Xenopus tropicalis: one gene and its partners. The protein of the gene in region 1 interacts with the protein of each later gene in a biochemical or structural test. Links are inferred from orthologs where the notes say so. Each region holds a gene or a part of one and is shown on either strand. Other genes may lie near its edges. The genes, in order: cdc34, cul1 and cul2.

Region 1 (3,756 bases):
CTAATTTCAAGGTGTGCCAAAATGATTTTTCAGGGCCTAGTAACTTCTACTTATGCTACTGTTTACAACACCGTACATGGAGTAGGAAGCAACTAGTCTTTAACTAGTAGTAGTGAAGTGGCATTTTACAAAGTGTAGCACCGGCCTGATGGAAAGTGTTGGGGGCACCCAATAAATTGCCACCCACTGAATCTAAGTTTCCCTGTCCTTTAAAGTGCACCTATGACCCTTTAACTGCTTCTCCCACCAGAGGTGCAGGCTAATAGACGCAGCACTTTGGTTGAGGGAAAACGATAGTTTGGTTTTTAAAAAATACAGCAACTGCCATTTCTAGGCTGCCCGCACCTGAATGAAGCTCCCAGTACAGGCAACCATGTTGTTTGCCATGCGTGGGCATAATAAATGCGCCTTTCCACTTGCAGATGATGCGCATGCGCCTGATCTAGGCGTGGTGGATGCAATTCACCCTCCATCACAAGCATGCACATAATAAGCAACTTGTGGCACTCACTCATTATGCACATTGTGAGAAATGAGGCAATATGGCTGCCCACACCTGGAGCACTCTTCTGCTGCAGGCAGCCTAGCAATGGTAGGAGCTTTTTTTTTTTTCACAAAAAGCTATTGTTTCCCTAACCTCTGATGAGGGAAACAATTTGAGGGTGATAGGTGCCCTTTAAGGTGAGCTGTATTAGAAGGTTATATTCTAGGAGATTAAAGGATATATTCACTGTTCATTCAGAAACTTTGTGTCAAGTTGAAGTTTTCTACTGCACTACTAAATAAAAGCTCTGTAAATCACGTTTCCCCACTAGAAACCAACATCTAGCTTTGTTCCCATCAGCCTCAGCAAGACCCCTCCTTCCTCCGCTCAGATTACACTTCCCTCGCACCAGTGCGTCACAGTGTTCGTGGGCTTGTGGGATTTGTAGGCTGCTCCTCCCACAACGCCGTGGCTTCACTTGCAGTTTCCGGCACCCGTTACTCTTCCAGCCAGCAAGTTAATTCGCAAAGCGGCTCCGTTGTGCCGTAACATGTCGTAATAAAGCCTTTAGTCGTCTAGCAGCCCCTTCTTGCTAAAACACCAAAAGCCTACTGATCCCATCCTGCCCTACGCGGAGGACGCTGTGGGCTCCTGGTTAGAAAGCGGGGAGCGGAACTACCATGGCCCGGCCGGTGGCGCCGGTGCCCAGCTCTCAGAAGGCCTTGATGCTGGAACTCAAGGGGCTACAGGAAGAGCCGGTGGAGGGGTTCCGGGTCACCCTGGTAGATGAGGGGGATCTGTACAACTGGGAGGTGGCAATCTTTGGCCCCCCAAACACCCTCTATGAGGGGGGGTACTTCAAGGTGAGGGTTAGGTGTGTGTGAAATGGTGGAGTTCGTGATCATAGGGGCCTTGGGGAGGGAAAGCCACGCTGGGGGGTATTTAAAGAGGCAGTAAGTAATAGAGGCGTGGGTGGGTATTGCGTACATCGCTGGGCCTTTCTGCACAACAAGCTTTCCTTTGTTTATGTGACTCCTACAGCCATAGCCGTAACTTGCCCGAAACTAATGTTTCACATGAAACTCAACCAGCCCTCAAAGCTACCCCAAAACTAAAACTTACTGAAAGAGTGTGGCACTACTAAATCTTTAATCCTGTTTTCTGCGAGTTGTAGTCCAACAACAGCTGCTAGGCCCCAGCCACAGGATGCACGGTGTTAGAAAGCAATAAAGGCCTTTGTGTAACAGGAAAACGCTCTAAACTCTTCATCTAACTTCTGATTTGGCACTTTGTGTTTGTGGAGATACCCTGGGTTTATATGTATTCATCCTGTGCCTATTTCATAAAGATTTTCAGAAGATTAATCAAACATAGGCGTTCCACTCTTTTACATTTTAGTATGCCATACTAGCTACATGTATGAAGCCTCATTCTTTTAAGGATTAAAGGGGTCTCTATACTTAGTTTTGGGCAGTTTTGTTAAGATGTGCCTTCTATAGTGTGTGTGTATATATATATATATATATATATATATATATATATATATATATATATAATATTAGTTTCAAGGGACTACTTATTCCTAGACATTTGCACAGATCAAGAAATTTAATAGGGGTTTATAATGAGATGTTAAATGGCTAGAACAATGTAATTGTGTTTTACAGGGGTGGTTCACCTTTAAGTTAACTTTTAGTATCTTATATAAAGACCTATTCTAATCAACTTTTCGAATATTCTTCATTATTTGTTTTTCATAGTTTCTTAATTTATTTGCCTCCTTGTCCTAACTCTTTGCAGCTTTCAAATGGGGTCACTGACCCCTGAGCCAAAAAAAAATCATACTAAAAAGTTAAGTCAAAGGTGCACAACCCCTTTAAAGGGGTTGTCCACCTTTTACTTAATTTTTAGTATGATGTAGAGCGTAATATTCTGAAACAATTTGCAACTGGTTTTCATTTTTTATTTGTAGTTTTTTTTAATTATTTCAGTTTTTGGTTGTCTCCAGCTTGGAGTTTCAGCAGCTATTTGGTTGCTTGGATCCAAATTACCTAAGCCACCATGGTGTGATTTGAATAAAAGACTGATATATAAATACGAGAGGGCCTGAATAGAAACATAAGTAATGTACAATAACAGTTAAACTATAGCTTCGCAGAACAATAGTTCTTTGGCTTGGGGGTCAGTGACCCCCCTTTGAAAGCTGCAAAGAGTAAATAATTCAAAAACTATGAAAAACATAATGACTAATTGAAAAGTTGCTTAGAATTGGCCTTTCTATAACATACTAAAAGTTAACTCAAAGGTGAACCACCACTTTCAATATATGTATAATATACATATTATTAGGGATACACTGAATCCAGGATTTGTTTCGGCGTTTGGCCAAGATTCTGCCTTTTTCAACAGGATTCGGATTCAGACGAATCCATGTGCCTGGTTGAACCAAATCTGAATCCTTAAAATCACTATTTCTTTATGTAAACCCAGAAGTTGAACATTTTTATTCCTTTTATAGGTTAGTTTTCAAATGCAAATTAGAGTTTGGTTCGGTATTAGGCCAAATCTTTTACAAAGGTTTGAATCATAAAACTCTGGAATTGGTGCATCTCATTATCCAGCCTCCCTGGAACTGAAAACAGACCTTATTTTTTATTTACTTATCATTAATCTGATGACAGCTGAGCTTGCTTACCCATCATGCAGTTCTATAAGTATGAGATCTATTATTCTGAAAGCTTTTGGACATAATTCAAATCTTTTATTGGGGCCTCTTGCATGATAGCCACATTCAGAGTGCCAATGCACCCTCATTCAATAGGATTTTCAAACTTGCCGTATTGAAAATTGATCAGCTATTGGTCAGACGGGCCCTATACACGAGCCAATAAGCTGTTAATTTGGCCTGGAGGCACTGACCTAGCAGCTTTTATTGGCCCGTTTATGGCCTGCTGAAGCATTTAAAAATAAAAACCAAGATGATCTTTTAGCCAGAAACATGGATTTATGTTAGCTTAGTTATCATAAAGCACAAGATACTGTTTTATTGTTACTACAGAAAGAGAGCAAACAAGTAAAAAATTAATAAATTACACTTTTTTTTTTAATAGACTGAAATTTGGTTGATCTACTCTTAGATATGTTGCTTGAGAACCATTATTTTGTGCTAATCGGAGCTACGGTGTGTTATAACAAAGGCATGGATCTCAACCATACTCACTTGCTTGTTAACCATTACATGTTCTTTTTGTCCTAGGCCCGCTTAAAATTTC
Region 2 (3,656 bases), on another chromosome or scaffold:
ACATTGGCTTTCAAGGCAAGTACCACTTACTACTTTATTTCTCTGTGAGGTAATTTCCAAGTAATTGCTAATTATTATGATTACTCTGATCTAATGAAGAAATACAGCAGATGCACTTAACACAGGCAATGTATAGTAACATATGAGTTAAGCTGTAAGTAACATCTTAAGCATATGTTTATGTCAACGTCGTGTAATTCACGAGATTCTTCTTGTCTTTCAGAGGGCAATGTATAATAATGACACCCAAAATGTAAACATAAATAACCCTGACCATGCTTACATTGGCTATTATGTGGCAACCATCATTACCTAGGGATGACTTGCATTAGAAGGGGAAGCCCTCAACACCAGTAAGGCTTATACCATGCAAGGTGCTGTCAAAATGCCAATCCCATGATTCCTGTCACTGCTTAATGGCCATGGGGTGGGTTAGAGTAGATTGGCATTTTTTTAGTCTGTTGACAAAACACCATGTGACATTAGCCTAAAAGTATATTTTAACGCCTGAAAGCTTACAGTCCCAGGGATCTTTAACTATGTGATAATGATCGCTATGAACACAATTTTTTTTAAAATCTTTTAAAGGGACCCGATTCCAAAATTTCTTCTGAGCTACAGAACTGTATTCAGCCTATTGCTGTTTTAGGCGAACACCAGAAACTGTGAAACTTACCAATAACTTAGACTTCAGCAAAATTTGAAGAACTTGCACAAGTATATCCTGCAAAAAGGAATAAAGGAAATGCAGCAGTGTGATAAGATTAATTTAGAATTAGGAAACACATGAAAACATTTGTAGTCTAATTAGACTTTGTGAACCAAGAGCTTCCATTCTTCTAGCAAGTACATTAGGTGTTTAGGATTACGGCTCATCTTAGTCCAATATGAATTCTGGAGATAAAAGGTTGTCATTACAATGACAGGCGGGACAGGCAGTTCCAGTGCCTCTGCTAAAAATGTGACATTAACCTTTAATCTGACAAGAGTCTGACAATGCTAGAAATGAAGTCATCTACACCCAGAGCTCCAAGACTGGTAAGTGGGAAAGGAGAAGTGTGTTCTGATCAGCACTACTAGTAGCCATCAAAATTGTCCCACATAGGCCTAACCCTAGCTGCCAAAATAGTTATTATTACAGTTATCTCTGTGACAATCTATAATGGCTTTTAACAAACAAGCATAATTTTTATAAGATAGAGGCCTTAAACTGTATACGGTTACCATTTTTATCTGTGTGCTATCTGTCAGTTGCTGCACTGTGTAGGCATCTTCTGTGTTATACTGCAGCAGGATTGCCATCTGGAATGTGGATGCCTGAAAAAGGAATCGGGAAAAAAGACCACAGTATACATCATACATCAAAAGCAAGGCAGTACTAAACAGTACCAAATCATTAGTAATTTTCCATTAGTTCCAACTGCAATGTTACCATGCTGTCTCTCAGTTCTGCACTGCAAACCTCTACTTCACAGTCAACATGTGATGTGCACAATTTGTTTTAGGTATTTAAGCAATACACTTCTTTGCTTGCAACATACCTGCAACGTGTATCTATTTTTAAAGCAGTTTGTGACCAGTTCTCCTTTAGACAACTGGTATAACCAAGTCAACTTCCTTCCACTGTGGCGGCTGGCATAAAAAGCTGTAAACCTTTGATAGCTGCGTTCCAACTGTAAAGGAAGAGAATTAAAACATTTTATTTGTGTTCTGCATATGATAAGTGGGTTGAACTGTCACATTCATAAGAGCACCCACCTATAGTGATTAACTGTATTAATAAACTATAAAGCCAAAGGCTTTTGTTCTCCGTTTCGAATCGTGCTCATGGGAAAGGAAGAATCCTACTACAAGGATAATGGTCCTACCTCCAAAGTGCCAGTTCACTCACACAAGTCCTAATTGGCCCTTACAAACCATCAATTAGTTTGCACCTCCTATGACAGCCCACACAGGACTTCTTGGGTCAGGCTATGCATCCGATTTACAGGTCTTGGAAATGCTCTTCTAAACCTTTAAAGTTGCTTAAGGTGTTAACCTATTTTTACAGGCTTTTACATGAATTTTTTGGTCCACTGAAAACTGTAAAATTTGGGTTGTACTATTCCCATATAATGTAGCCTATTGGAACTCCTATTGCACTTTTCAACCAACAGATGGTGCAAAACACTTAGAAAACCCCACTTAATAAAGAGTAAAATAAGTTACAAGTTACAGTTTGCAACCAATAGGTGGCACAATCATACTAGAATGGCACATTTAATTAAGCATTAAATGCACCAATTAATTACAAATATATCAGTCCACTATAAATCTATATAAAGCTAAAATCAATTTGTGGGTGAAATAAAGAGATTTTCTAACCTGAAAAATCTTTTTCTCGTAGGCCCTACCTGGCAGTGCAAGACATTGGGTTAAGTTATTTCTCTCTGGAGGCAGGACAAACTGATGTCTTTTTTTTTTTTTTTTTGAAAGGTGCATTTTATTAATTTTCATACAAACATAAAATAACACATTTTATAGTGCAATGAGGAAAACGTATTGGACTTTCTTTTCCAGGTCTATCTCTAACATTTGTTACAAACATCAACGGGATAGGTTTAACATTACAGAGTGTGAATGCGAGTCTGGCAACAGTTCCAACATATTGGGTCCGTCACGTTACCGAGTTAGATGTTCAGGGTATGGCAGAAAAAGGTGGGAAGGCGTTGGGGGACTTACTATGCAGCTAGGAGCGGGATCGATCAATTTCCCTCTAGGTCACACCAAGGGCCCCAAATTTTGTCAAATTTATCAGGTGCGTCTCTCGTCTCGTATGTGAGTTTATACAGAGGGGCTACCGCATTCACTAGATTCTTCCAGGCTGTAACGGTCGGCAGGGTAGAGCCCATCCGATCCATTGCGACTGTTTTTTTTGCATAGAACAGGAGAATTCTGTAGCATATCCGGGAGTTATTTTGAGCAATTATACTGTCTAGGACTCCTAGTAAGCTAGTAAGTTTCGGGAGCAGTCACAGTAGGGAAGGCTAAGTTATTCGATAAGTATTTAGTGACTGCTGACCAGAACGTAGCGATATGGGGACATGCCCAGATCATATGAAAAAGTTAGCAGGGCTGGCTGCACATCTCGGGCACTTATCTGTTGGGGTACGGCCCATCTGGTGCAACCTTAATGGTGTGATATACAGGTGATGAAAGGTTTTATACTGTATCAATCTGTCTCTAGTAGAGATGAGACAGTTACACATGGAGTCTGTTGCCTCCTCCCAATCATCTTGGGTGAGTGTTGGTATTTGGGAAGTCCACCATATTTGTGCCGAGTTAAAGGGTTTGGGGCCTTGATAAGTCTTTCTTGAAACCCTTTCTTCTTCGTGTCTCCCCCTCTTACCCCGCAAAGCCTGCTGGGGGAGACAGAAGAACCGAACTATCAATGTGACGAGCAGCAATAACTAGCACCCCAAAAAGGGAGGAATGGTGCACTGACAGTACGGCCTACAAGAAAAGATGTTTCAGGGTAAAAAAAACCAAATCTCCTTTTCTCAGTCGGTCAATGCAGGACAACTGGGGAAGTCCCAAAACCCTCAAAAAAAACCAAAAACAAAACAATGCAGCTGAACTAAGAAAAAGGCATGAGCTAGATATGTTGCTGCTGCTGC
Region 3 (3,656 bases), on another chromosome or scaffold:
CAAATTATAAAATAATATAATTATTGTTAAACAGATGGGGAATTGGCAATTGTAGTTTTAAGATTGGTCTGACAATACATATAGGATCTTTTAAACAATACCACAATGATACCACACAGTGCTTTTATTGTGGGCGGATGAATCATGCAGTGGTTGTGCATGTGACTGGGTGAAAGTGAAGCTTTGGTATTGCCTGTGTAACTGTGTGGCTGTATGTGTGTAAGTGGAACTATATCTGGTGCCTCCACAATGATGCAATGTTGCTTGTGCTTGTATAAGTGAATGATATTTTCTGTGTGCCTAATGGGGCAGCTACATTTTGCTCTTGCCTGTGTAGATGTGTGCAATTGTGGCCATAAAGACGCTGCTTACACCGCCTATTGAAAACATTCTTGCGTTATCAACATACTGTGCTTTATTACAGTTTTATCAAGAAATATTTGAGTTGCCTTTTCTGGCTGAAACAGGGGAGTATTATAAACAAGAAGCTTCAAATTTATTACAAGAGTCAAACTGCTCACAATATATGGAAAAGGTAAAGAAAAGTAACAGCCTATGTATTTTTATTGTGGATTTATTAAAATGTATATTATGCTTTCTGTACAATTTATAGGAATTAGTAAGGTTTACCTTACAACTCTGGAACAAAACCATAACAGTAATGGGAGTTAAAACCAATGTAATATTTGGTCAGAGTATTCTTTTGCTCAGAAAACCATAGCAGCCAACCAGATGTTTATTATTATTCAAGCCACAGTATGAATGTAAAAGTTAATTGCTGTTTTGTTGTTATAATTTAATGGAGTGGGGCAAAATTAAAAAAATAATATACTGTTTACATGCACTGGCAAAAGTTGTATGCTTGTCTTAGAAGCACTACTATAGCTTATAATATAATAAAGCTGTGTAGCCATGTGGGCATCCATTCAAGTTGAAATAGGGCTAAATGGCCCTTTTATATTTTGCTGTTACAGGTATAGGACCTGTTATCCAGAATGCTCAGAACTTGGGATATCTTTATATGATTTGGACCTCTATATTTTAAGTCTGCTAAAAATTAGTTTAAACATTAAATAAATTCAATAGGATTGTTTTGCCCCCAATAAAGATTAATTATATCTTAGTTGGGATCAAGTACAGAGAAAAAGGAATTCAGTTTTAAAATTTTGAATTATTTAATTAAGATGGAATCTATAGGAGATGGCTTTTTCCGTAATTTGTACTAATTTGTAATGCATCCCATACCTGTACTGGTCCTTTAAGTACATTGGGCAGCCTTTTTTTTTGTGTGTAAAGGGGAAATTATGGAATATTTAAACTTCTATTAAGTGGAGTGGGAAAACTATAGGGGTTGGTCTTGATCCCAGGGGCAGCAAGTACAAGAGCGATATCAGTTTACAGGTGTCATTGTCCCATTATAACAGCTTTTTCTAAGGAGACTCAGATTAAGTTGCAGAACCCAAACATGAATTTTAAAGCAATCACGTACCTTGTTTTTAATACGTTTTTAAAGATTTCTTGCACATTATTATTTATTATTTACGTGCAGATTTTAGGTAGATTAAAAGATGAAGAGATTCGATGTCGAAAGTATTTACACCCCAGTTCATATAATAAAGTGATTCATGAATGCCAGCAGAGAATGGTGGCAGACCACTTGCAGTTTCTACACGCAGAATGTCACAATATCATCAGACAAGAAAGGAGAAGCGGTAAGCACTGAGCAGTTATTTTTTCTTTTGTTTTAGGTGAAACCATTTTCAGTTTCTCAGCCTTTTAGCCATCATCATAATATATGCTTTGGTTGAGAACTGTATTATCAAAGTGGCTTATTATGATGTTGCTAAGCTTAGGTCAGAAATGGAAAGTCTTTTATTCAGCAGGGGTAGTGTTGATAAGCTAATACTTCTCTTTTAAAGAACAGTAACTCCAAAAAAATTGTGTTTTAAAGTGATTATAATTAACTTTTGCCTTGCACTGGTATTTTTGCTTTAGAAACACTAATATAGTTTTTTTTATAAATAATCTCTGTAGCAATGAGGGAGGCTATTCAAAGGAAACAAAAGGCTCAGATTACATAGCAGATAAGTTCTGTAGAATATAATGGTGTTCTACAGGGCTCATCTTTTATCCGCTATTTAAATCTGTGCCATTTAACGCTATTTAATTTTTAGGTCCCTGTATCAAACAGCTGGGGTGCCCTAGTCCTAACGGGAAATTTTAAAATTTCCTGTAATTCTTTCAAACTTACCTTATTGTATTTACTTTACTCCTTGTGTCCTGCAGCCTCCTTGAATGGCAAGATATATTGTGCTCTATATTGAATGTTGAAAAGTGGGCTTTAATTTAAGGGGATTATAAATATTTTAGTATTTTAGTGTAACAATGCCACAGAGTAAAATTAGTTTAAAAAACTGTTTAAATGTTAACTCGTGATTGTTACAGTTATCACTTTGTGTCACATTATTTTCTGTGGCATTGCAGATATGGCCAACATGTACACTCTTCTCCGTGCTGTATCCAATGGTTTACCTCATATGATTCAGGAACTCCAAAACCATATCCACGATGAAGGCCTTAGAGCTATTAGTAATCTTTCTCAGGAAAACGTGAGTAACCATGAAGCCCTTGATAGCCGCATAAATACTAAATGAGCAGTAGGGATAAAATATGAAGGAGCAGAGCCACGGGCTATAGCCTGCACCAATTGTTTGCTGCTACTTGTACAGGCAGGCATAACGCCCTGTGTGCCATAGACCATAGATGCAGAGCTCCCTGAAAGAGGGAAAAGGAAGGAAACGAGGAAATTACTTCCCTGCCTGACATCTTTAAATCTGCCACACTCATCATTGGATCAGACAGTTGAAAGATATGAACATGTGGCCAAATTCCCCAAATTATCATTTTAAAAACTAATGCGAAACAAAGAGTTAATCTGGCCATATTATACCATAGTCCAAATAAAAAAAAAAGGGTTTGGATTTTAAAGGAATATATCTGTTTATGTACTTTATCTTTAAGTAGCAATAAGAATGAAAATGCCCAAGTACACAAAAGGCCAGCACCACAGAGTGCCACATGCTTCCTGACAAAGAAACTTAAAGAAAATGGCTAATTCATACCGATGAAACATGAAATGAAATGAATTATGGGGAAGTTTTATTTAATCTTTTACATGCCAGCTGGGTTTTATTTATTACATGGTATATTATTAAGACTATTTCCCATTAGAATGTGATTGCTCCAAACTGTGCACAATGAATGTTCCCTCTTTTTCAAATGGCCTTGGGTCAGTATGTCACTAAGTACAGGGAACACTAGCCAGTGCTAATCTCAGATCATTTGTAGTTGCCATTCATGAATTTTTGTATTTTTATAATTCATTTAAATGTTTTAAGTTTTTTTTTTCTTGTAGTTCTCTTTGTGTTTTTTTATAAATGTTCCCTTTTTATCTTTCAGATGCCAACTCAATTTGTGGAGTCAGTCTTAGAAGTTCACAGTAAATTTGTTCAGCTTGTCAACTCTGTATTGAATGGTGATCAGCACTTTATGAGTGCACTAGACAAGGTACAGTAATCAATAGGTCCTGATCATGACCCTATACCACCTTGCACAAACAAATACAGAAATATAATGGGGCTTAACATTTTTACATT

Evidence for each region.
Region 2: the proteins of cdc34 (region 1) and cul1 form a complex in vitro, tested with the Homo sapiens proteins (3 studies listed by BioGRID). The link is inferred for Xenopus tropicalis from reciprocal best matches to the Homo sapiens genes CDC34 and CUL1.
Region 3: the proteins of cdc34 (region 1) and cul2 form a complex in vitro, tested with the Homo sapiens proteins (2 studies listed by BioGRID). The link is inferred for Xenopus tropicalis from reciprocal best matches to the Homo sapiens genes CDC34 and CUL2.

What each region holds. Positions count from the first base shown.
Region 1 is NC_030677.2:105,629,846-105,633,601, forward strand, and holds the start of cdc34 (ubiquitin-conjugating enzyme E2 R1), read left to right. Parts: upstream 1-1,007; 5' UTR 1,008-1,164; coding exon 1,165-1,347; intron 1,348-3,740; coding exon 3,741-3,756. UniProt on the Homo sapiens protein: E2 ubiquitin-conjugating enzyme that accepts ubiquitin from an E1 ubiquitin-activating protein, and catalyzes its covalent attachment to other proteins by an E3 ubiquitin-protein ligase complex. In vitro catalyzes 'Lys-48'-linked polyubiquitination.
Region 2 is NC_030682.2:55,181,847-55,185,502, forward strand, and holds part of cul1 (cullin-1), read right to left. Parts: intron 1,674-3,656; coding exon 1,542-1,673; intron 1,318-1,541; coding exon 1,225-1,317; intron 725-1,224; coding exon 677-724; intron 1-676. UniProt on the Homo sapiens protein: Core component of multiple cullin-RING-based SCF (SKP1-CUL1-F-box protein) E3 ubiquitin-protein ligase complexes, which mediate the ubiquitination of proteins involved in cell cycle progression, signal transduction and transcription.
Region 3 is NC_030682.2:21,665,134-21,668,789, forward strand, and holds part of cul2 (cullin-2), read left to right. Parts: intron 1-424; coding exon 425-535; intron 536-1,549; coding exon 1,550-1,712; intron 1,713-2,484; coding exon 2,485-2,609; intron 2,610-3,459; coding exon 3,460-3,567; intron 3,568-3,656.